Danio rerio: one gene and its partner. The protein of the gene in region 2 purifies or fractionates together with the protein of the main gene of each other region. This does not show direct contact. Links are inferred from orthologs where the notes say so. Each region holds a gene or a part of one and is shown on either strand. Other genes may lie near its edges.

Region 1 (11,611 bases), on a different chromosome or scaffold from region 2:
CCTTAGCAACCGCCTAGCAACACCTTAGCAACCACCTAGCAACCACTCAGAACACCCTAGCAACTGCCTAGCAACGCCTTAGCAACCACCTAGCAACACCTTAGCAACCACCTAGCAACCACTCAGGACACCCTAGCAACCACCTAGCAACACCTTAGCAACCACTCAGAACACCCTAGCAACCATCTAGCAACCACTTAGGACACCTTAGCAACCACCTAGCAACACCTTAGCAACCACTCAGAACACCCTAGCAACCGCCTAGCAACACCTTAGCAACCACCTAGCAACCACTTAGGACACCCTAGCAACCGCCTAGCAACACCTTAGCAACCACCTAGCAACACCTTAGCAACCACCTAGCAACCACTCAGGACACCTTAGCAACCACCTAGCAACACCTTAGCAACCACCTAGCAACCACTCAGAACACCCTAGCAACCACCTAGCAACACCTTAGCAACCACCTAGCAACCACTCAGGACACCCTAGCAACCACCTAGCAACGCCTTAGCAACCACTCAGAATATCCTAGCAACCACCTAGCAACCACTTAGGACACCTTAGCAACCACCTAGCAACACCTTAGCAACCACTCAGAACACCCTAGCAACCGCCTAGCAACACCTTAGCAACCACCTAGCAACCACTCAGAATACCCTAGCGACCACCTTGCAACACCTTAGTAACCACTTAGCAACTAGTCAGAACACCTTAGCAACTGCATAGCACCACCTTAGCAACCACCTAGCAACCCCTCAAAACACCCTAGCAACCGTCTAGCAACACCCTAGCAACCACCAAGCAAATAGTCAGACCACCTTAGCAACTGCCTTGCACCACCTTAGCAACCACCTAGCAACCACTTAAAACACCCTAGCAACCGCCTAGTAAAATGCTAATTCATGCTAGAATCATGCTAACAACATGCTAATTCATGCTAGAATCATGCTAGTAACATGCTAATTTATGCTAGATGTATGCTAACAACATGCTAATTCATGCTAGAATCATGCTAGTAACATGCTAATTCATGCTAGAATCATGCTAACAACATGCTAATTCATGTAAGAATCATGCTACTAACATGCTAATTCATGCTAGAATTATCCTAGTAGCATGCTAATTCATGCTAGAATCATGCTAGTAACATGCTAATTCATGCTAGAATCACGCTTACAACATGCTAATTCATGCTAGAATCATGCTAGTAACATGCTAATTCATGCTAGAATCATGCTAACAACATGCTAATTCATGTAAGAATCATGCTACTAACATGCTAATTCATGCTAGTAATATGTTAACTCAAGCTAAAATCATACTAACATTCTATTTACACTTTAAAACCACTTCAAACTTTCAGATTCGGCTTTTCAAGCCACCATAAAGTTTGTCCTCAAACTTTAATATCTAGTTTTGATGTTGATATCAGAAAGCGCCTAAACAAACATGCCTATAACTCAACAGAACTCTGCCTCTTTTTGATATTGTCACTACACTACCTGACAAAAGCCTCGTCACCTGTCCAAGTTTTAGGAACAACAAATAATAACTTGACTTTAAGTTGATCGTTTGGTATCAGAAGTGGCAATAATGAAGGGCAAAGGCCTCTAGATTACGCTTATTTGACCAAAATAAAACATGATCATGCCTTGATTTTTAATTATTTAATTAGGACAGTAAGCTCTGCCTTTGCTTAGACAAAAGTCTTGTCACTGAACAGAAATAATGTCCAGTATAGAATATAAAGTCCTGCTGCAGTGGAGACAGAATGAATATTGTGTCTGACTCCATCATGAGCTTGGAGGACTGCATCATACATCTCTGCACCGACTCAAATCACTGATTAATAAAGTCATCTGGAATGGCAAAGAAAGCGTTCCTGCAGGACTCCCAGAGTTCATCAAGATACTTTGCATTCATCTTCAATGCCTCCTCCTTCATCTTACCCCAGAAAGCTCAATAATGTTCATGTCTGGTGACTGGGCTGGCCAATCCTGGAGCTCCTTGACCTTCTTTGCTTTCAGGAGCTTTGATGTGGAGGCTGAAGTATGAGAAGGAGCGCTATCCTGCTGAAGAATTCGCCCTCTCCTGTGGTTTGTAATGTAATGGGCAGCACAAATGTCTTGATACCTCAGGCTGTTGATGTTGACATCCACTCTGCAGATCTCTCGCACGCCCCCATACTGAATGTAACCCCAAACCATGATTTCTCCTTTACCAAACTTGACTGATTTCTGTGAGAATCTTGGGTCCATGCGGGTTCCAGTAGGTCTTGTTTATTATTTGTGATGATTGGTATGTCTTCTGCCACTTTGATGATCAACTAGAAGTCAAGTTATTATTTGTTGCTTTTACAACTGGGATCTACAACCTTACTGCTGATTCAACACTGTGGTCACAAATGTGACCCTGGACCAAAAAACCTGTCTTAAGTTGCACAGGGATATTTTTTGGCAATGATCAAAAATACATTGTACGAGTCAAAATTATAGATATTTATTTTATGGCAAAAATCATTGGAATATGAAGTATGATCGTGTCTCGTGAAGATATTTTGTAAATTTCCTACTGTAAATATATTAAAATTCTATTTTTATTACTAAGGTGAATTGCTAAGAACTTAATTTGGACACTTAGGCCCCATTCGCACTGGGCGTCAGCGTCAGCGCTTCCTATTCACTTTGAGTGGGTGACGTCAGGCATTGCCGAACTGCATTGTGGATCCGTCAGCGCCCCTTCAGAGGTGTTGCTCGCCTCAGAAGTTGGGACTAGCTCAACTTTTCAAGCGCCCACTCTAGCGTCAGCCAATCAGATCGCTGTATGCAAATACACCAGCTAGACAGTGGCCTATTGCTGACTGAATTTCATTGGCTGACGCTTCTATGACGATCGTTTCAGCCCCAACTTCAGACACGCCTTTAATCAAGCGTTGACGCTGAAGCCCCGTGTGAATGGGGCGTAAAGGTGATTTCCTCAGCATTCATTTATTTTCCTTCAGCTTAGTCCCATTATTCATATGGGGTTGCCATAGCAGAATGAACCGCCAACTTATCCAGCCAACTTGAATGTTTTACACAGCAGATGCCCTTCCAGTTGCAACCCAGTACAGGGAAACACCCATACACCCTTACATGCACACACATACACTACAGCCAATTTAGTTTATTCAGTTCACCTGTAGCGCAAGTGTTTGGACTGTGGGGGAAACCGGAGCACCCGGAGGAAACCAATGCCAACATGGGGAGAACATGCAAACTCAGAAATGCCAACTGGCCCAGCCAGGACTCGATCCAGCAACCTTCTTGCTATGAGGCAACAGTGCTAACCACTGAGCCCTTTTCCTCAGTATTTACTTTTTTTTTTTTTATAATTCACAGATTTTCAACTAGTTGTATTTTCCTGTCACAACAAACCTTACACCAATAGAAAACTCTTTTATTTCCCTTTTATTTTCCCTTTATTCTTTTATTTTTATTTCATGCTATGTATGTATAAATATGAGTTTTATAAAATAGACACTGATGGCTGGTGATTTTGTGGTTTAGGATCACATATTTCTCAGTGCGCCTTAAACCACAGTTTTTTTTTTTTTTCAAAATACTTGTGGGTAAAGTGAACGGGGGAACAACACTGAAAAAGTGAGCGGGGCGGTATAGAATGATGCATTGAGTTGCACTTCTGTTCTACTGACCTGTGTGAGCGTGAGCACTTTGACCGAGTCATCAGGATGGTTGAGTCCGCTCTGGAGCGCTTTCCTGTAGTTCTGTGCAAGCTGAACCGGTTCTAAAGCCTGCAGGACTCGACTTAGGATCTCCACACACACCTCAATCTGCTCTCTGCACCCAACAACAAACAAAAAACAGACAGAAAGCAGTGTTCAATCACGGAAAATAATTCTCCATGTAAAACATTTTTTAAGATCACATTGTCAAGTGCCAAATAAGAGGGTTTATCATTTTGATATGCACGTTTCATTTAAACAAATGAAACTTGTGTAAGTTGTGTAGGATTTCAAAATGACTTGGATTATTGTTTTCGCTTCATTAAAATATCTGAATCACAAATATACTAATTACACGATTTACTGTTAAAGTTCATTTGCGTTATGTTTGCTTTCATGAGCAACACGGTGGCACAGTGGTTAGCAATGTGGCCTCACAGCAAGAAGGTCCCCGGTTCGAGTCCTAGCTGAGTCAGTTGGCATTTCTTTGTGGAGTTTGCATGTTCTCCCCCCGTGTTTGCGTGGGTTTCCTCTGGGTGCTCCGGTTTCCCCCACAGTCCAAACACATGCGCTATAGGTGAACTGGATGAACTGAATTGTCCCTAGTGTGTGTGTGTGTGTGTGTGTGAATGAGTGTGTATGGGTGTTTCCTGGTACTGGGTTGCAGCATGAAGGGCATCCACTGTGTAAAACACATGCTGGAGAAGTTGGTGGTTCATTGCGCTGTGGTGACCCTTGATGAATAAAGGGACTAAGCTGAAGGAAAATGAATGAATGAATATGCTTTCTTACACAGCTCTGTAAAAAAATAAGAGAGCGGCAATTTTTATATGGACTTATTGTCATATTCTATGAGTATTTATATAAACGGTTAAAATTATTATATTATATGTGTTTTAAAATGTTAAAGACGCAGTATCTGTATTTTTAAAAATAAAACTCTTTGTCAAAATGAATACCCATTAACCTCTTAATGCCCAGGGTGTTTTTTACATGTATTTTTTATTTCTCTTTGCTACTGTATGTGGGCTTATTGGAACCTAATTAGAATAAAAACCTAAGTATCATCTTTTGATATGATGTACTTTTAGAGAAAAATAATGTTCATATATGTGGACTCGTGGTCCGAATTTACATAAAACACTTTTTCCTGACTGTTTTTAAATGCATATTTAACATACAAAACTTATTTGAACATGTTTTGACTATCAGAGACTAAAAACAATATATTTCCCCCCATTTTGGACAGTTAAAAATAGGGTTTGGGACATTTCATATTCTGCAAAAGAGTTGCAGGATGAGACTGTACGTCTGTAACAAAATATAAAACATTCAAAGTATTTTAAATAGCCACTTAAGAGCTATAATGCGCTGTCCACGCAGCCCTAGGAGGTTAAAGCAATAGTTAACACACACACACAAAAAAAATCACGAATTAGTCTCCCTAAAGTGTTTATGAATCTTCATGATTTATTATTTACTCTCCCGTCATTTTTCCCCTAATCGTTTACGAGTTGCCTTCTTCTGTTAAACACTGAAGATCAGTAACCATTGACTTCCATATTAGCAAATACAAATACTATAGAAGTCAATGGTTACAGGTTTTCAGTTGTGTTCAACACGAGAAATAATATGGAACAAAATCAATGCCAATAGTATTGAAATGAAAAGCTTATGGAATAGCACAAGCTGAAAAAAATAATACATGGAATTAGCAACTGCTTGCATTTTAATGACTTGGATTGCCAGGGTTTGTATTTTTAGGGCTTGCAATTGAACACAGCTGTTTATTTAAGCTGTAAATATCTCAACTAAAAATATTTCAAACATGTTTTCATACTTCAAAAAAAACTAATTCATATTCAATATGCAGGTTTCACTCACAAAATATTAAATACCAGTGAAAAATACGAAGCGAAATGTTCAAAAGGTAACTTCCAGTTTATTTTATTTCAGTTCAAAAATTTGCTTCCAAAAATTCGGTGGATGAAATTCGGCTCTTAAAATTCGACATTACTTCCGGGAACTGCAGGGAAAAGCAAAAGATTGCAGATTGACAATCTTCAGCTGCTTTTTCACTAGCAGGTGGACCAATTTAATATTTTTAAACCAGTAAATAATTGAGGAAAAAAGCTAATAACAGCACAAAAGTTGCATTTAATGTCAAATTTTAACAGCCGAATTTGATCCACTGAATTTATGGAAGCGAATTTTTGAACTGAAATAAAGTGAATTGAAAATTGTCTTTTGAATAATTTACATGAAATCTGGAAATTGAATATGAATTATTCAATTTTAAGTATGAAAATGTGTTTGACATATTTTGAGCTTAAATAAACAGCTGTGTTAAATTTCAGGACGTAAAATTACAAACCCTGGCAATCCAAGTCATTAAAATGCAAGCAGTTGTTAATTCAACGTATTATTTTTTTTTCAGCTTGTGCTATTCGATAAGCTTTTTATTTCAATACCTATGGCATATATTTGTTCCATAAACGAACCTCATAAATATTTTTTTTAAATGAAGGGAGAGAAAATAATGACAGAATTTTTATTGAATTTTTAAAGTTTTTTGAAGAGTTATTTATTGAGGTGAAGTTGGTTTTATATTACCACATTTGTTTATTTTTGAACAGTGACAACTTGACAAAATTAGAAGTATTTAATAGACTGTGAACGATGTTGTACTTTGAAAGTCATGGGCTGCAAACATGATTTCACTATTTAGAATTTGCAAACAATACTTTTCTGAGATTGTATTATTAAGGAGAAACTCTGAATGTGTAAATATAAAAGCAGGGACATTCTACCAGAAATGTACAATGTACACTTATAAAAAATGTTACAGGGCCTGACCTTTAAGCTTGTCGTCCTCGAAAAATCATACAAAGTCATAGCCTTAAAGGTGAATTGCACGCATTTAATGTTAAATTTAATGCAAATGTGACAGGACTGACAGAAACATGAGGACAATTGATTGTAAATGTATTTGTTGTATTTATTTGTAGAAATTATTAATCATTTCATGTTCATAATCAACTGATGTGAATGATAAAAACTTAAACTTGCTATTTCTGAAGTATTTTCCCCCCCAAATAACAGTTTTTAGCATAACAAAACTATTAAAGCTGAGGACAATGACAGGGTTTGTACATTTGTAAAGTGTTTTAATAAAGAACACAAATCTGAGAACCAAATGAATGACATATTCCTTTACAGAACAACTTACAGAAATCAACCATCAGGCTATTTGATAAGAGATGGGAAACTTTTTATTCACTGTATTGATTATTTTATGTCAGGGACAGATAACGTACGTTCCTGGTAAGAAGTCCCACCAACTTTACATCAATGAGTTATTTGAAAAGGTTTAATAAATCATTCTCGACTTCAATACACAATGAAATGACCTGCTGAATGCAAAAAGTACGCATTGTGTAAAGACTAATAATGAATAAATTCAATAATACTGCTCGCTCATTACAGTAGGCTATCAGTGTGCAGTGTGTGGTGTGTATTGCGCCTGTTGACTCAGCAGGATCAACACTCACTTGTCATTAGTGTTTAAAAGGCTGAATATGATCTCCAGTCGGGCTCCAGACACTGCTGGCCTCAAACCGCTCACGGGAGTCGCTAAAACGGCTGTCCGGAGGCTCTTGAGCTCCTCGATCGGATCTTCTGATTCACAGATCTCATTCAACAGACTCTCTATAGGCGCCGCCATCATGGCTCAATGTTTGCGTCACGTGACCGAGGGGCGGGAAACACGCTGAGCTCATTTGCATTTTGTCAGTAAAATCAGAAGCTGTTGTACTGTGTATTTTGAAATTTATATTGTATCATATTACATTTGTAGTATGTATACATTTAGTTTTATATTTATATGAATGAAATACAATAATTGTTTTTATTTTTAATATGTATGTATAAATATACGCATATTAAGTTTAATCAAATGTAATTTGTAACTGTAATTTAATTATATATTTATAAAATAACATTTATAAATCATTATGTATAATCATTTATTGTTCATAAATAATTTATTTTGTTACACACCAAATGCTGTCGATCTCGGTTGTTGCTAGATCAGATACAGTTGGAGCTGGAAGTTAACGATAATTTTTTATATTATTTATTAAATTTCCCATAAATTGTATTTTAGTAACGTCTACCCCTACCCCAACCATAACCCCGACCGTCACAGTACTGTAAAAATGTTAATTATTGTTATACAGTGTCACAAAAATTATGCTATATTGATGCGCGTATCCGCAGCGGTAACCTGTTCAGGATTTACCATCGATCTTTGGTGTAACTACGGTAATTGGTAGTTTAGGCGGAAACTACGGAAACTAGGAAGTCCAAAAATACAGCCATGACCCTATGTAAATACGTTGATGTAACTCGACGTCGTGTAAATTCCAATACCTGTGTATGAAATTTTTATACAGTTTAATTTTGGGATGTTTATTAAATTATTCAAGAGTTCTGACAAGTTCGTCCCATGTTTGAGGAGTCACCAGTCTATGGGAGTCGCACGCCAATTTCTAGATGGGCATTCAGGTAACGAACAACAACCCGGTGTAACGTTATTTTATTATGTTATATGGTAACTTTAAATGTGTTGTATATGCTCGTACATTGCGTAGTTTTAGGAAATGTGCTTTATTTGCGTATCCATGAAAGCCTTGTTTTTTTAAATAAACAAAATCACCAGGACTAGTTGTGAGGGGAGATTCTGTAGCTTACTTTCCTTTAGCGGCCACTAGATGCCGCCATTTAGACTAGTTTTTTCTCAATCATCTTTATTATACGTCGACTATTATTTGTTACTATTAAAGTATTAATTAACAACCCGGAGTTCTAAATGTTCCATACAGCGTTGGTGTCATGTGAAAATACCATGAGACCTTCATATAGCATGGTAACATACTTGTTGATTTCCATATTCATTACAGTATCAGAATCAAAACCTCCTTTATTTGCAAAGTGTGTCCAAACACATATGGAATTCAGTATATATGGAGGACGAAACCTGCAAAAATAAAAAATAAGTACGCAAATATATAAATAAATACACAAATTCCTGCATAAAACAATAAATAAATAAATACACAAATAAATAATTATATAAATACACAAATTCCTGCATAAAACAATAAATAAATAAATACACAAATAAATAATTATATAAATACACAAATTCCTGCATAAAACAATAAATAAATACACAAATAAATAAATACACAAATTCCTACATAAATAAAATAATAAATAAATAAATACACAAATAAATAAATGCATAAATTCTTGCATAAAACAATAAATAAATAAACACGCAAATAAATACACAAATTCCTGCATAAATAAAACAATAAATAAATTGATATGCAAATAAATAAATACATAAATACCTGCATAAATAAAACAATAAATAAATAAATACGCAAATAAATACACAAAGTCCTGCATAAAACAATAAATAAATAGGCAAATAATAAACAAATTCCTGCATAAATAAAACAATAAATACATAAATAGGCTAATAAATAAATACAAAAATTCCTGCATAAAACAATAAATAACTAAACACGCAAATAAATACACAAATTCCTGCATAAAACAATAAATAAATAAATACACAGATAAATGAATAAATAAATACACAAATTCCTGCATAAAACAATAAATAAATAAATACAAAAATAAATAAATACACAAATTCCTGCATAAAACAATAAATAAAAAAATAAATAAATAAATAAATAAATACACAAATGCCTGCATAAAACAATAAATAAATAAATACAAAAATAAATAAATACACAAATTCCTGCATAAAACAATAAATAAATAAATACACAGATAAATGAATAAATAAATACACAAATTCCTGCATAAAACAATAAATAAATAAATACAAAAATAAATAAATACACAAATTCCTGCATAAAACAATAAATAAAAAAAAAAATAAATAAATAAATAAATACACAAATGCCTGCATAAAACAATAAATAAATAAATACAAAAATAAATAAATACACAAATTCCTGCATAAAACAATAAATAAATAAATACACAGATAAATGAATAAATAAATACACAAATTCCTGCATAAAACAATAAATAAATAAATACAAAAATAAATAAATACACAAATTCCTGCATAAAACAATAAAATAAATAAATAAATAAATAAATACACAAATTCCTGCATAAAACAATAAATAAATAAATACAAAAATAAATAAATACACAAATTCCTGCATAAAACAATAAATAAATAAATACACAAATAAATAAATACACAAATTCCTGCATAAAACAATAAATAAATAAATACACAAATAAATGAATAAATAAATACACAAATTCCTGCATAAAACAATAAATAAATAAATACACAAATAAATGAATAAATAAATACACAAATTCCTGCATAAAACAATAAATAAATAAATACAAAAATAAATAAATACACAAATTCCTGCATAAAACAATAAATAAATAAACAGTTTATTTGACAGTGCAACAGTTCTCTCGCTAAAAAGATTAAAATGGTAAAATAAATCAAATCAAACCAAATCATTTGTGCGACTGCATATAATGGTTGTAGTGCGACCTATTTTGATTTTTTTCTAAAAACGTGCTGAATCGGTCTTCCCTGCTGCTATTTTGGTTCATATTAGCTCTCAATCACTCAAGGCTTTCTGCTGTCAGATGACAGGGACTTTTTGTGACCGCGGGTAATGGAAACGGCTGAAAAGTGAAAAGTACACAGGTTTGCAAACCCCACCTAAAGTTACACATGATGGCGGAGATGACGGTGATCATGTGGTGCATGTTGACCCGCGAGCTGAGATCAATCGAGTGTTTTCGGAGAAGGTGCCCGAATCTCGATGCATTGCATTCACTGCGTGTTCAGTGCAAATGTCCGTTAAATGTTAATACTAACACTGTACACACCATCGCCAACGAAAAAAAGAGCGGTTTTGAAAATGCCCTTATTCGTGTAGACCTAAATATCTCTGATACATATATGCGCATAAGCTTGGTTGCTAGGCTTTTTTGACTGGTTGCTAGGTAATTCCTCACTCGCCCAAGTCAAAAGATCCAACACTCGGGTACTGTAGCAGTCTTGAGGTTTGGCATGTCCATACAAGCTGTTTTTGTTCATCCGCATGTGACCCCCTGACTGTGGCTTTAATTACGGGCGGGAGACTCCTGTTTACACACGCAGATCAAACCATCTCAAGTGTGTTTGTGGAGGAGCCTGAAGTCAATGGGCTCACTGATGAACATCACCCTCAGCCTTCACAAAGAGTCTATGTCCACCATCAAAGCCCATTCACCTCAGCTTTCTGTTCTCAAACACTCTAGTCCTAATCCTCATGGCTCTTTCAGCGCTCGTGCATGTGCTATCATTTCTGCTACTTCAGTTTTACAGTGAGTTAGGGCAATTATTTCATGATCAGAACCAATGTCTTCCTTTTTTCCTTAGAGATAGAGGAGAGAAACACACACACAGACACATACAGGACTCTGCCCAGTAGACCTTCACTTCTGAGTGTGTGTTTGTGTGTTTCAGGTCATCAATAGCCTCCCTGTTAAAGGTAAAATGAGATCCTACACACACACGCACACGCACACACACACACACAGACGCACACTAGTTTAACCTCAACCCAAGAGCAAAAATAAAACTTCCAAGACACACCTTCTTTTCTGAAAGACATTACAGTCCCAACACACACACACACACACACACACACACATATATTATGGTAATAGAACTAAAATGGCTGGCGTTGTACACGTCTCATTTCTTTCGGATTACAGCTGCAGTGTGATTTCAGTGCACGGTCACACTATCATTAC
Region 2 (11,383 bases):
TGAATAGACACTGTACGCTGCTGAATGTATATATATATATATATATATATATATATATATATATATATATATATATATATATATATACATACCCTGCTAAAAAATCCAGCTTAAACCAGCCTAGGCTGGTTGGCTGGTTTACCAGGCTGGTTTTAGAGGGGTTTTGGCTTTCACTTCCAGGCTGGTTTCCAGCCATTTCCAGCCTGGTCTTAGCTGGTCAGGCTGGGAGATGACCAGCTAAAATCAGCTTGACCAGCCTAGCCAAGCTGGGAGTCCAGCCAAAACCAGCTATATCCAGCTAAAACCAGGCTGGTCAAGCTGGTTTTAGTTGGATTTGGCTGGTCATTTTCCAGCCTGACCAGCTAAGACCAGGCTGGAAATGGTTCCAAAACCCCTCTAAAACCAGGCTGGTCAACCAGCTAAAACCAGCCAACCAGCCTAGGCTGGTTTAAGCTGGATTTTTCAGCAGGGATATATATATATATATATATATATATATATATATATATATATATATATATATATATATATATATATATATATATATATATATATATATATATATATATATTTGCTGTTGTTTGTACCTTTTTGTTTCTAGATTAAAAAAACAGATAAGCAGATTTACCAAAAAAAAACAAAACATTTTTTTTTAATGGTCCAACTAATTTGCAATTAATATCCGCAATATTATTATCATCACGGATATTTCATATTAATCATTCACCTCAAGACTAGCAGCATAAACATTGTACATATGTAGACTTACATTAAAATCTAATACTAGGCCAACTTTGATACTCAATATAGTATGAACTACTTCTAAACAATACTATACATGTGATAAACATTTTTTTTTTGTAAACAGCAAATGTGATGATGAAGTAGTACAAAACATGCTTTGTTTACTGCAGTTATGTTGCTTGTTGACGCTAATAATAACACGACACATTCACTTCAGTCACCTTTTCTTTCTTTTTTTCACTTAATCGCAGATATTATTGAATTGTGTGACGACTTGTCTTGCTTTATTATCACAATCCTCGCATAAAAAGTCTTGTTTATGTTGAAAAGCTAGCCATTAGCAGCAGACGGCGCTGTGGCGGTGGCGCGCACGGGAAACAAAGGACCTGTCAACTTCCGACGGCCATATTGCGGTGATACAGCGAGTTTTGCGGAGAGGAGCTCATCATGATTTCTGCCCAGGCTTATGGAGAAAACGGCAAAATGAAAGAATATCACTATACAGGACCAGTGGAGCACAAATTCTCCCCTTATGCCTTCAACGGAGGGTAAGAAGATATATTGTCCTCCATTTTCATTCAGCAGAGCATCCAGCGAACATGACAATTCACTTCACAGCTACGATTCAGCCATAAACTCGTCTTATAAACTGTTTAGAGACTTAAAATTTGTACATTTTACACAAAATAAAATGTCCGAGAGCTAAGTTTAGTAAAATCACGGGTGTAGCAGCAGTATAAATTGAGCTTAACAGTGTGCTTATTTTACTTTCACTATCACAACTGCAGAAATTGACTATTCATGTGTTGTAAGTCAAAACCGATGATATCTGAGGTAAAAACATTAATATTTAGACCTAATATGGTTTATTATTGATGCTAATTTTTAAACCAAACGTTGTTTTATTGTGGGACGTTTATATTGTTCTTATATTTGCTCCTACATGACTAAAATACTGTAGTAATTTATAGTAAATACTGTAGTGCTTTTAAATCATGCTATAGTGAAGTGTATTATACTGTATATATTATAATAATCACTCTTTTAAATCTATTAATGAAGGCCCCAGTACACTATAGTGAACAGATAAACTAATAAATGCTGTAGTTTTACTAAAGTAAACTGTAGTTTATTGTAGTATAATATACTTTAAGAAAATTTGGATTTGTTTATAATAATATAAGTGTATTAACTATTGAAATAACACATTGAGGTAAAGTTGGTTTTATATTCACACATTCACACTTAATGATACAGTTTAGACAAGTATTATTTGCAAATTCTAAGTAGTGAAATCATATTATCAGCCAGTGACTGTCAAAGTACAGCTTTGTTCACTGTCAATTAAAGACTGCTAATGTTGTTTTGAAGGCATTCTTGCATGCAATTTCACACCGAATATTTAAAGTAGCGTGGTAAACAAAATAAGGAGCAAGTTGTCACTGTACGAATGTGCTAATATAAAACCAGCTTTACCTCAATAAATAATAAGAGACAAGCAGAGTCAAGCAGTTGTGTTGAGGTAACGTTGGTTTTATGTTTACAAATTCAAGCTTTTTGATTAATATTATAATTTCAGAAAAGTTATTTAAGTTGGGAAATCATATCGGCAGCCAATGACTAACATAACATCAGTTAAAAAGTGCTAATAATGTTGTAAAGCATTAAAGTGAACAAATGTGTGAATATAAAACCAACTTCACCTCGATTTGTCTGTCTTTATTAATTGTTTATTTTCTCTTCTGTTTATTTAAATGAGGCATTTGTATATTTGTGTTGAATCTGTTCTCAGGACAGTGCTGGCGGTGGCTGGTGAAGATTTTGCTATCGTGGCCTCAGACACACGTTTAAGTGAAGGTTACAGCATCCACAGCAGAGACTCGCCCAAATGCTACAAGCTGTGAGTGACTGTTATTATTATTTTAATATATGTGTATGATATAAAGGCAAAAATGCTAATTTACCTCCAGATTGTTAGTGGGCCGCTTCGGTAAGTCATGGTGAAAATGTATATATAATTATGATTTTTTTTACTCTAGACACATAGAGCATGTTTAAGAAGATACATTATTAATTTATTGAGGTAAAGTTGATTTTATATTAGCACATTTGTTAATTTTAACAGTTCCTATATTGTTTGCGATGCTACTTTGAATATTGGGTCTGAAATCACATGTAAGTATGACTTCAAAACAACATTATCACTATTTAATTGACTGTGAACAATGTTGTACTTTGATAGTCTATTGGCTGATAATTTGATTCCCATATTTAGAATTTGCAAATAATACTTTTCTGAAAATATATGATTAAGGAGGAAGTCAGAATGTGTGAATATAAAATTAACTTTACCTCAATTATTCATTTAAACATATTCTGTGTGTCCTGTTTATTCTTATTTTTTTTACAGAGTAAAAAATCATGACTGTCATACATTTTTACCATGATTTTAATGACAGAAGACTCCCACTAAAATTCTATTTTACTCATATTTTTGTTTTTAGTGATGTTATATATTATGAAATGTATTAATTTTGTAATATTTAATGAGTGACCCTTTGTTACTTTACCTTTAACAGGTCAGAATAACTGTGTTCTTGAACTTTTACATATATGTCAGGGCTCGACAATAAGGACTGCCCCGTGGCCCAGGGCCAGCGTGAGAGATGCTTGGGACAGTAGACAGGATCATTACTGGCCCGATTGGGACAGTGCTGCCTTGTCACTAACATTTCATTTGTCTGCGACTATTTCAATTATGTGCGTTTTAAGTTTGTGCTTTTAAGTCTTTAAACACTCCCTTCTCAATGAAGTCGTAAACACCATATTGCTTTCCGGTTCCGCTTATCTGATTTGATGTTTTGAGCATGCTTTTTTTCCCCGCAACCTGGGAACAACCAGTACAGAGAAGAAACGGCAACATGGCGGCAACATCAAATTATAAGGCTAAAAGAAAATGCCTGTTTCTAATGTCTTAGATACAGGAATTTACGTGTGAACAACGCGAAAAAAAAAAAATGAAGTGATGTTTTGCACTGATTGCCCACAGTCAGCCCACCTTTTGTTAAATAATTTCGAACCGCAATAAAAATACCTGCACATTTTCCATACTGCTCTTTTTGTTTGCACAACACTTTTATTAATGTTTTTTTAAGTATTGAAATTCTAGATTCACAGACTTTATTTTTGACACATATTTAAAATATGCGGCTGAAAAATAGCTTTAAAAATTTTATTTATTTATTTATTTTTTTGGTGGGGCCAGTACAAATTTTGGCAGGGCCAGTAAAAATCTAAACCACTGGCCCGATCAGACCAGTAAAAAAAAAATCCATAGCGTTGAACCCTGTATGTATCAGAACATTTGCAAAGCAGATTTCTTCAACACATTTCTAATCGTAATAGTTTTAATAACTCATAATCTCTTATAACTGATTTATTTTCTCTTTGCCATGATGACAGTAAATAATATTAGACTAGATATTCTTCAAGACACTAGTATTCAGCTTAAAGTGACATTTAAAGGCTTCACTAGGGTAATTAGGGTAAAGTTAGGGTAATTAGGCAAGTCATTGTATAACGATGGTTTGTTCTGTACACTATTGAAAATAATATAGCTTAATGGGGCTAATAGTTCTGACCGTAAAATGGTTTTTAAAAAAATGACAACTGCTTTTATTTTAGCTGAAATTAAACAAATCAGACTTTCTCCAAAAGAACAAATATTATAGGAAATACTGTGAACAATTCCTGAATCTGTTCAACATCATGTGGGGAAATATTTGTAAAAGAAGAAAAATCAGAGGGGGACTAATAATTGGGAAATGCTGTGAAAATGTCCTTGCTCATTAAACTACTTGGGAAACCTTTAAAGTAAAAACTTTACAGGAAGGCTAATAACTTTGCTACATGTGTGAACATTTTGAGTGAAGTTGAAGACTTTGAAGTGGATTAAATCTTTGTATCAGTTGAAAAATATTTCCAGTTTTTTTCCAGTTCTAGTAAATGAGAGTGCACTAGTGTACTTTAAAATCCCTGTTGTCAATAGTAATCCAGAAACTGAGAAATTGCACTTCAGAGTTAATTATGAATTATTTAGCATTAAACCGTGTCTGTGTCATTGTTCTCAGCTGCAAGAATGTTAAAACCCATGACAGTGAGCAAATAAATGCACACCCACAGTTTATATTGTCAGCGTGTGTGTGCTGTACAGCACTTTTTACTTTCATTTCTCTGTTTTTACTCTCTCTCAGGACAGACACTACAGTTCTGGGCTGCAGTGGTTTTCATGGAGACTGCCTGACGCTCACCAAAATCATTGAGGCCCGACTGAAGGTGCGTCTCACAGCCTAGAAGGGAAAATGGAAATGCTGTTGTCGTTTTTTCATGAGGGAACATTTTCAGTGTGCTAACAGTATGACACTGAAATGTACAGATATAATGCTTCACTCAACAAAATGAGTTGAGTTTTAGAAATGAACAACCTTTTATTATTTTTCTATAATATTGCTGTGGATAATTTATCTGTAAAATAACAATATAATTTGTCAAATAACAAAGCAAATTTTACAACCAATTAAAAAACAGATAATACAAATAAAGGAAGTATCTTTATTATCATTAGTTATTCTTAGCTTGATTTTTTTTTTACATGCTTTGTTGTTATTATTATTATTATTATTATTATTTAGGAAATATGACAATAAGTTTTCTCTGCACATTTAAAAGGGTGGAAAAAAAAACGTTGCCTCACATACAAAACTGAACAAATCTCCTAATTAAGGGGTGTCCAAACTCAGTCCTGGAGGGCCGGTGTCCTGGAGAGTTTAGCCCCAACCATAATCAAACACACCTGAACAAGCTAGTCAAGCTCATACTAGGTATAATAGAACAGGGGTGTCCAAACTCGTAGGTGTCCTGCATAGTTTAGCTCCAACTTCCTTCAACACACCTGCCTAGAAGTTTCTAGTATACCTAGAAATGGCTTGATCAGCTGCTTCAGGTGTGTTTAATTGGGGTTGGAACTAAAATATGCAGGACACCGGCCCTCCAGGATTGACTTTGGACACCCCTGTACTAGACACTTCCAGGCAGGTGTGTTGAAGCAAGTTGGAACTAAACTCAGCAGGACAGCGGCCCTCCAGGATTGAGTTTGGACACCCCTGTCCTAATTGTTTAAATCGCTTTATCAATGTCATCTTGGCACTTTTTAGGACTCGTCATGTTTGCTGTCATCATTTTAATAATTTCACTAACAAGGTTCATCACTTAAAACATTACCTGCTACAACTTGTTTACAACTTGTTTAACTTGTTTTCATGTTAAGACCTGCTATTCCAACCTCAATACCTTCCAGTGCATTGCATTTGCCCCATGTCAGGTGTGAATATTTTTACAACATTTATTGTTATTGTGCAAAACATTAGCTAAAAGAAACTTGAAAATGTCATTGACTTCCGTAGTATTTGTGTAGTCACACATGTAAATGGACTTCCAGCCAGCTCATGATCCCCACAGAAATATCCACATTTCCTGAGCGGTGTGTTTGACTTTCTGGGCTGCCCTTACAGATGTACAAGCACTCGAATAACAAGAGCATGACGAGTGGAGCCATCGCAGCCATGCTGTCCACCATTCTGTACGGCAGGCGCTTCTTCCCTTACTACGTCTACAACATCATCGGCGGTCTGGATGAGGAGGGTGAGTTCGCTCAGGTCTTCAGGCTTAATTCAGCCATCTAAAGGTCAGGAGCGCATTAAAGGCAGTCTGGCTGACTGAAATATACTTGGCTAAACTGGCAATGAGCTGGTTATAGAGACCAAAACAAAGACATTTTGACAAGTAACCAGGGGGCTATTTCATAAAAGTGGTTAAGAAAAGCCTGACTTCAATGAGCTGAACTAAACGTCCACGCTTAAATTGATTCCATAACGGCAAGTTGAAGATCGTTTGATTTAACTAGTCTGAGTTCAGTTTAAATGATCTAGATAACTGCTCGTGCACATTTCTGTTGTGAAACCTTAAAAGTCGAGCATAGATGCATCGATTACGTTGTGTGCTACCATGGCAACTTAGAGAACTGAAAGAGCTCTGAAATGAGACACAGCTGTTCACAGCGAGTGAGTCACGAAACTGCAGATTGTTTAATAAGCTACAGTAGCTCTATATTTTTAAATATATGCTATTATTTATGCCTATTAACATGAAATTAAATATTTGTTATAAAACATAGTAATTGTGCTTGACCGCGCATGTGCATGAGAGAGAATTTGCGCTTACTGCCAATTGTTGCTTGCAATTAAACGTTTTAATGCATTGCGTTAAATATATTTGTGCATATACATTAGATTATTCAGTACCAATGCAAAGTTTGGAATATATATATATATATATATATATATATATATATATATATATATATATATATATATATATATATATATATATATATATATATATATATATAATTTTTTTTTTTTGCTATTAAGTGACTAAAGTTTTAATCATTATTAAGAGGTTAAGTGAATTTAAATGGCATCAAATTATGTCAGGTGAATGTTAACATTACTTTGATTAAGCTTAAACTTAAGGCTTAGCCTTGGAGTTAGCCTGCCCCGGACCAGGCTAGTTTCCCAGCCTAAGTTGCCAGGGTAACTAAGTTTGAACTATCGTAAATTTGATTTATGAAACCGAATCCGCCATTAATAAACCTGACTTACCAAAAAAAGCCTGGCTTTTTCTGTAAGCTTGGTTGATGGAATAGCCCCCTGCATTTTCAGGTAGATTTATTTATTTATTTTTTTATTAGAATATGCAAAAAGGTACATAAATTGGGATCATACAAATACAAAAAACATCAACAAAAAACCATAACAAAACAACAATAAAAAAAACAATAAAAAAAAAAAAAAAACAATATAGTCAGGTACTGTTAGGTGTGTGTGTGTGTGTGTGTCCATGTAAAGGTAACTTGGTGGAAGGTCAGATTACATACATTAGGAACAATGTTAGCCAATAAATGAATCTAGTCTCGCAGATATAAGTAAAACAGATACAAAAGAAACCAGTCAGAGTTAGGGAGTAACAACTATGCTTAGTAATGTATAATAGAAATAATGACAGTAAAAAGAAAGAAATGACAACAGTAATAATAAATGATAATAAATCACAAGTACTACCCTAACTACTACTACTGCAGAAAGTTACTTATATTACTATATAATTATTAACTACTATTGCTGCTACTACAATCACAACCACAACTATTACTACTATAATGTCTACTACTGCTGATACTACCACAACAATGACTACCACTACTGATACTACAGCGTCTGCTACAACTAATACAACGTCTACTACTACCGCAATCACTGCTACTACAACATCTACATCAACGACATCTACTACTGGTACTACTACACCAACAACGATTACTACTGCTACAACGACACTTTTACTACTTCTGCTACCACTATACCAACGACATCAACTACTACAGGAACTAATACTTCAATAATCACAATTACGATCGATACTACTACAATGACTACTACAACTACTACACCAACAACGACTACTACTACTACTACTGCTACAACGACACCTTTACTACTTCTGCTACCACTATACCAACGACATCAACTACTACAGGAACTACTACTTCAAAATACAATTACAATCAATACTACTACGATGACTACTGCTACAACTACTACTACTACAACAACAACAACAACAATTACTGCAACCTTAATAATGATAATCGTATTAATATTTTCAGGTAGATTAATATTGTGGTATTTGTATACTTTATAAGAGTCACAAACTCACAGCACCTTTAAAAACCCCTCTTCATTACCACAGAAGAACCAATAAACAAGATTACTGTGGTAATGCTAGGAAACTGCATGTTGCATTTTCAAATTTCGGCCATCCCATATTAATGAATACGTTGTCAGTGCAGACACTTGACACTTTTATGATCTTAAGTCTCTCCAAATGGTTGATCAGTTTCGTTTCACTAATGCATGTACACATTTTTCTTGAACACAGAACGGTGTGATTAAATAATCATGTGTTTTGCTTTATTCCAGGTCGAGGTGCTGTTTATAGTTTTGATCCAGTTGGTTCCTACCAGAGGGACACGTATAAAGCAGGTGGATCAGCGAGCGCAATGCTGCAGCCGCTCCTCGACAACCAGGTCAGAGTTCAGATTATCATCATAATATTAAATAGTCCATCTTAAACCCCATTCAGACCAGCAGTTTCTCCCATCACTACCAAACTTAAGTACACATGAAGTCAAAACTAACCATATTAGGAAAAAAACAATAGATTGCCCTTATAGTCTTTAATTGAAATCTGTAAATGCACTTCCTGATTGTTTTTGGGTAAATTCTCAGATTAGGTCTGTCTAATGTGGTGGGCGGGGCTAACACCCTTAACCACGCCCATCCAGCTGTCAGTCAACCAACAGAAACAGTGAGCAGGAGGAGTCTGTTAAGTTGTAATAACTCTCCCCAGACCCTTTTCCCCATCTTCCTGAATGAAACACCTACTTTACTACATCCAATCAGCTCACAGTACAAAAAACAAGCCACGCCCACTGTCTTCTCATTTATTATGCCGTTTCTCTCACAAAAGAAATGGTTACAGATTCCAGTTCACGAGGACTTTAATAGAAACCAACCATTAACTAAGTTGTTTGTTGTGCTCAGATCGGCTTCAAGAACATGGAGAACGTGGAGCATGTTCCTCTGACCCAGGAGAAGGCAGTGCAGCTGGTGAAGGACGTGTTTATTTCTGCTGCCGAGAGAGACGTGTACACCGGAGACGCCCTCAAAGTCTGCATCGTCTCCAAAGAGGGCATTAAAGAAGAGATCGTGCCGCTCAGGAAAGACTGAGACGCCTTCTCTGCACGCCAACGTTAGCCTCTTTTTGTTTCGCTCCAGATGCATCTTTCATTCTGCTCTCCTTTTTATATTCTGTCTCGAGAATAAATACCATACTGGTGTCAACATTGTGTAGTGTTCAGAGTGGTTTGTCCATTTGACAACCTCAGGTTGAGTGAAAACATCGCATCTGGATTGTGTTAAAATGTCTACGCTGTAAAAAATGCAGAGCTCCACACTAACCGATTAAGTGAAAGCAACAAATCTGAAGTAGATTGAACTTAAATTAAGTGGTCAAAAAATAAAATCTCAAGATTTGTGTAGTTTTGACACATTTTAAGTTATTTAAAAACATTTTTTATTTTAGATGGATAGACATGGAAAATGGGCCTAATCAGGTTTTTAGCTTCGATTTCAAAACTCTTACAATTATTATTTAAGTAAAAACCTCACTGTATAGTATATGCTCAAATTTACACTTAAATACTTGTATAATTTTATTGAAATATTCAAAACATATACCAGCAGAACATCATTAGCTTTGAAGACCTATTTTTTGAAGATCATTTTTACCTGTTACAGTGTTCAGACGGCAGAGAGACACCACGTTGACGTTGTGATGCCAAAATCATTGTAATACAAACGATAACATTAAAAAAACGCATGTATCGGCCACTTAAATGTTGTGGCCATTTATTGGCCAATATCAATATGGGTACCAATATAGGCAGATGTTATTATGGTGACCTACTCTATATGCAGTGTTGGGGAAAAAGTAATATATTACAATCTGTAGTATGTATTTATATATATATATATATATATATATATATATATATATATATATATATATATATATATATATATATATATATATATATATATATATTAAGGGTGTCATGATTTCAATTTTTAATCAAAATCGATCGAAATTTATCGTCAACTTCAATTATCGAATCAAAAAATAGAATCGTCGATGCTGCAACGCCCCCATGTAACGTCAGCTTGGCTTGCCAAGCGGGAAAAAACAGGCTTGTTGAAGTGCTTGTTAAACTGCAGAAGCAGGAGACCCGTCGACAGAGCTTAAACCCTCTCCTCTTTCAATGAAGTCACCGGTGTGGAAGTATTTTGGATTTTCAGTTAGTTATGTTGACAACGTTCGTGTTGTCAACAAAAAAAAAAAAAAAACAGTTTGCAAGCTCTGCCATGTACGTATTACGGTTGGGATAATAGACGATGGGCGCATTGCGATCCATACACGAAAACACGAAACTCAGGCCCTGTTTACACTAACATGTCTTTGTTTTTAAATGGCATTTTAGAACGACAACAATCCACATCCACACTGGCGTGTAGCATTTCTGAGCAGCCCTCCTTCCTCACTACCGCTGAAAACGCACATCACGTGACCACACACACACACTCATTCACACACAGACACATTGTCATGCGCTCGAGACAGCGGGTCAAGGCAGTCAGCGGTTCAGTAGACTGCTTCCATCTTTTACTTTCACACAAGTACTTGGTCATTTTAGCGAACACCTCAGATACTGTTGGCTGGTTCCTGTCTTTCTGGAATGATATTGTTAAGGAGACAGCCAAAATGTGATACAATTAAAACAACTTGACCTCAAAGTTGTACTCTTGGTCTTTGTGTTCAACTATTAATCAGCTAACAGTCAGAATAATAGAAATTCATGTTTTGATTTTATTATTAAAGATCAATAATAACTTCACCATAGCAC

What was found. Proteins that work in one complex are often made in the same cells at the same time.
Region 1: the proteins of psmb1 (region 2) and psmd5 fractionate together in Homo sapiens (co-fractionation; 3 studies listed by BioGRID). This does not show direct contact. The link is inferred for Danio rerio from reciprocal best matches to the Homo sapiens genes PSMB1 and PSMD5.

The regions. Positions count from the first base shown.
Region 1 is NC_133196.1:6,258,925-6,270,535, forward strand, and holds the start of psmd5 (26S proteasome non-ATPase regulatory subunit 5), read right to left. Parts: upstream 7,490-11,611; 5' UTR 7,455-7,489; coding exon 7,279-7,454; intron 3,843-7,278; coding exon 3,698-3,842; intron 1-3,697. UniProt on the Homo sapiens protein: Acts as a chaperone during the assembly of the 26S proteasome, specifically of the base subcomplex of the PA700/19S regulatory complex (RC).
Region 2 is NC_133188.1:1,047,237-1,058,619, reverse strand, and holds psmb1 (proteasome subunit beta type-1), read left to right. Parts: upstream 1-1,147; 5' UTR 1,148-1,191; coding exon 1,192-1,292; intron 1,293-2,536; coding exon 2,537-2,644; intron 2,645-4,997; coding exon 4,998-5,079; intron 5,080-6,314; coding exon 6,315-6,444; intron 6,445-8,840; coding exon 8,841-8,947; intron 8,948-9,464; coding exon 9,465-9,650; 3' UTR 9,651-9,768; downstream 9,769-11,383. UniProt on the Homo sapiens protein: Non-catalytic component of the 20S core proteasome complex involved in the proteolytic degradation of most intracellular proteins. This complex plays numerous essential roles within the cell by associating with different regulatory particles.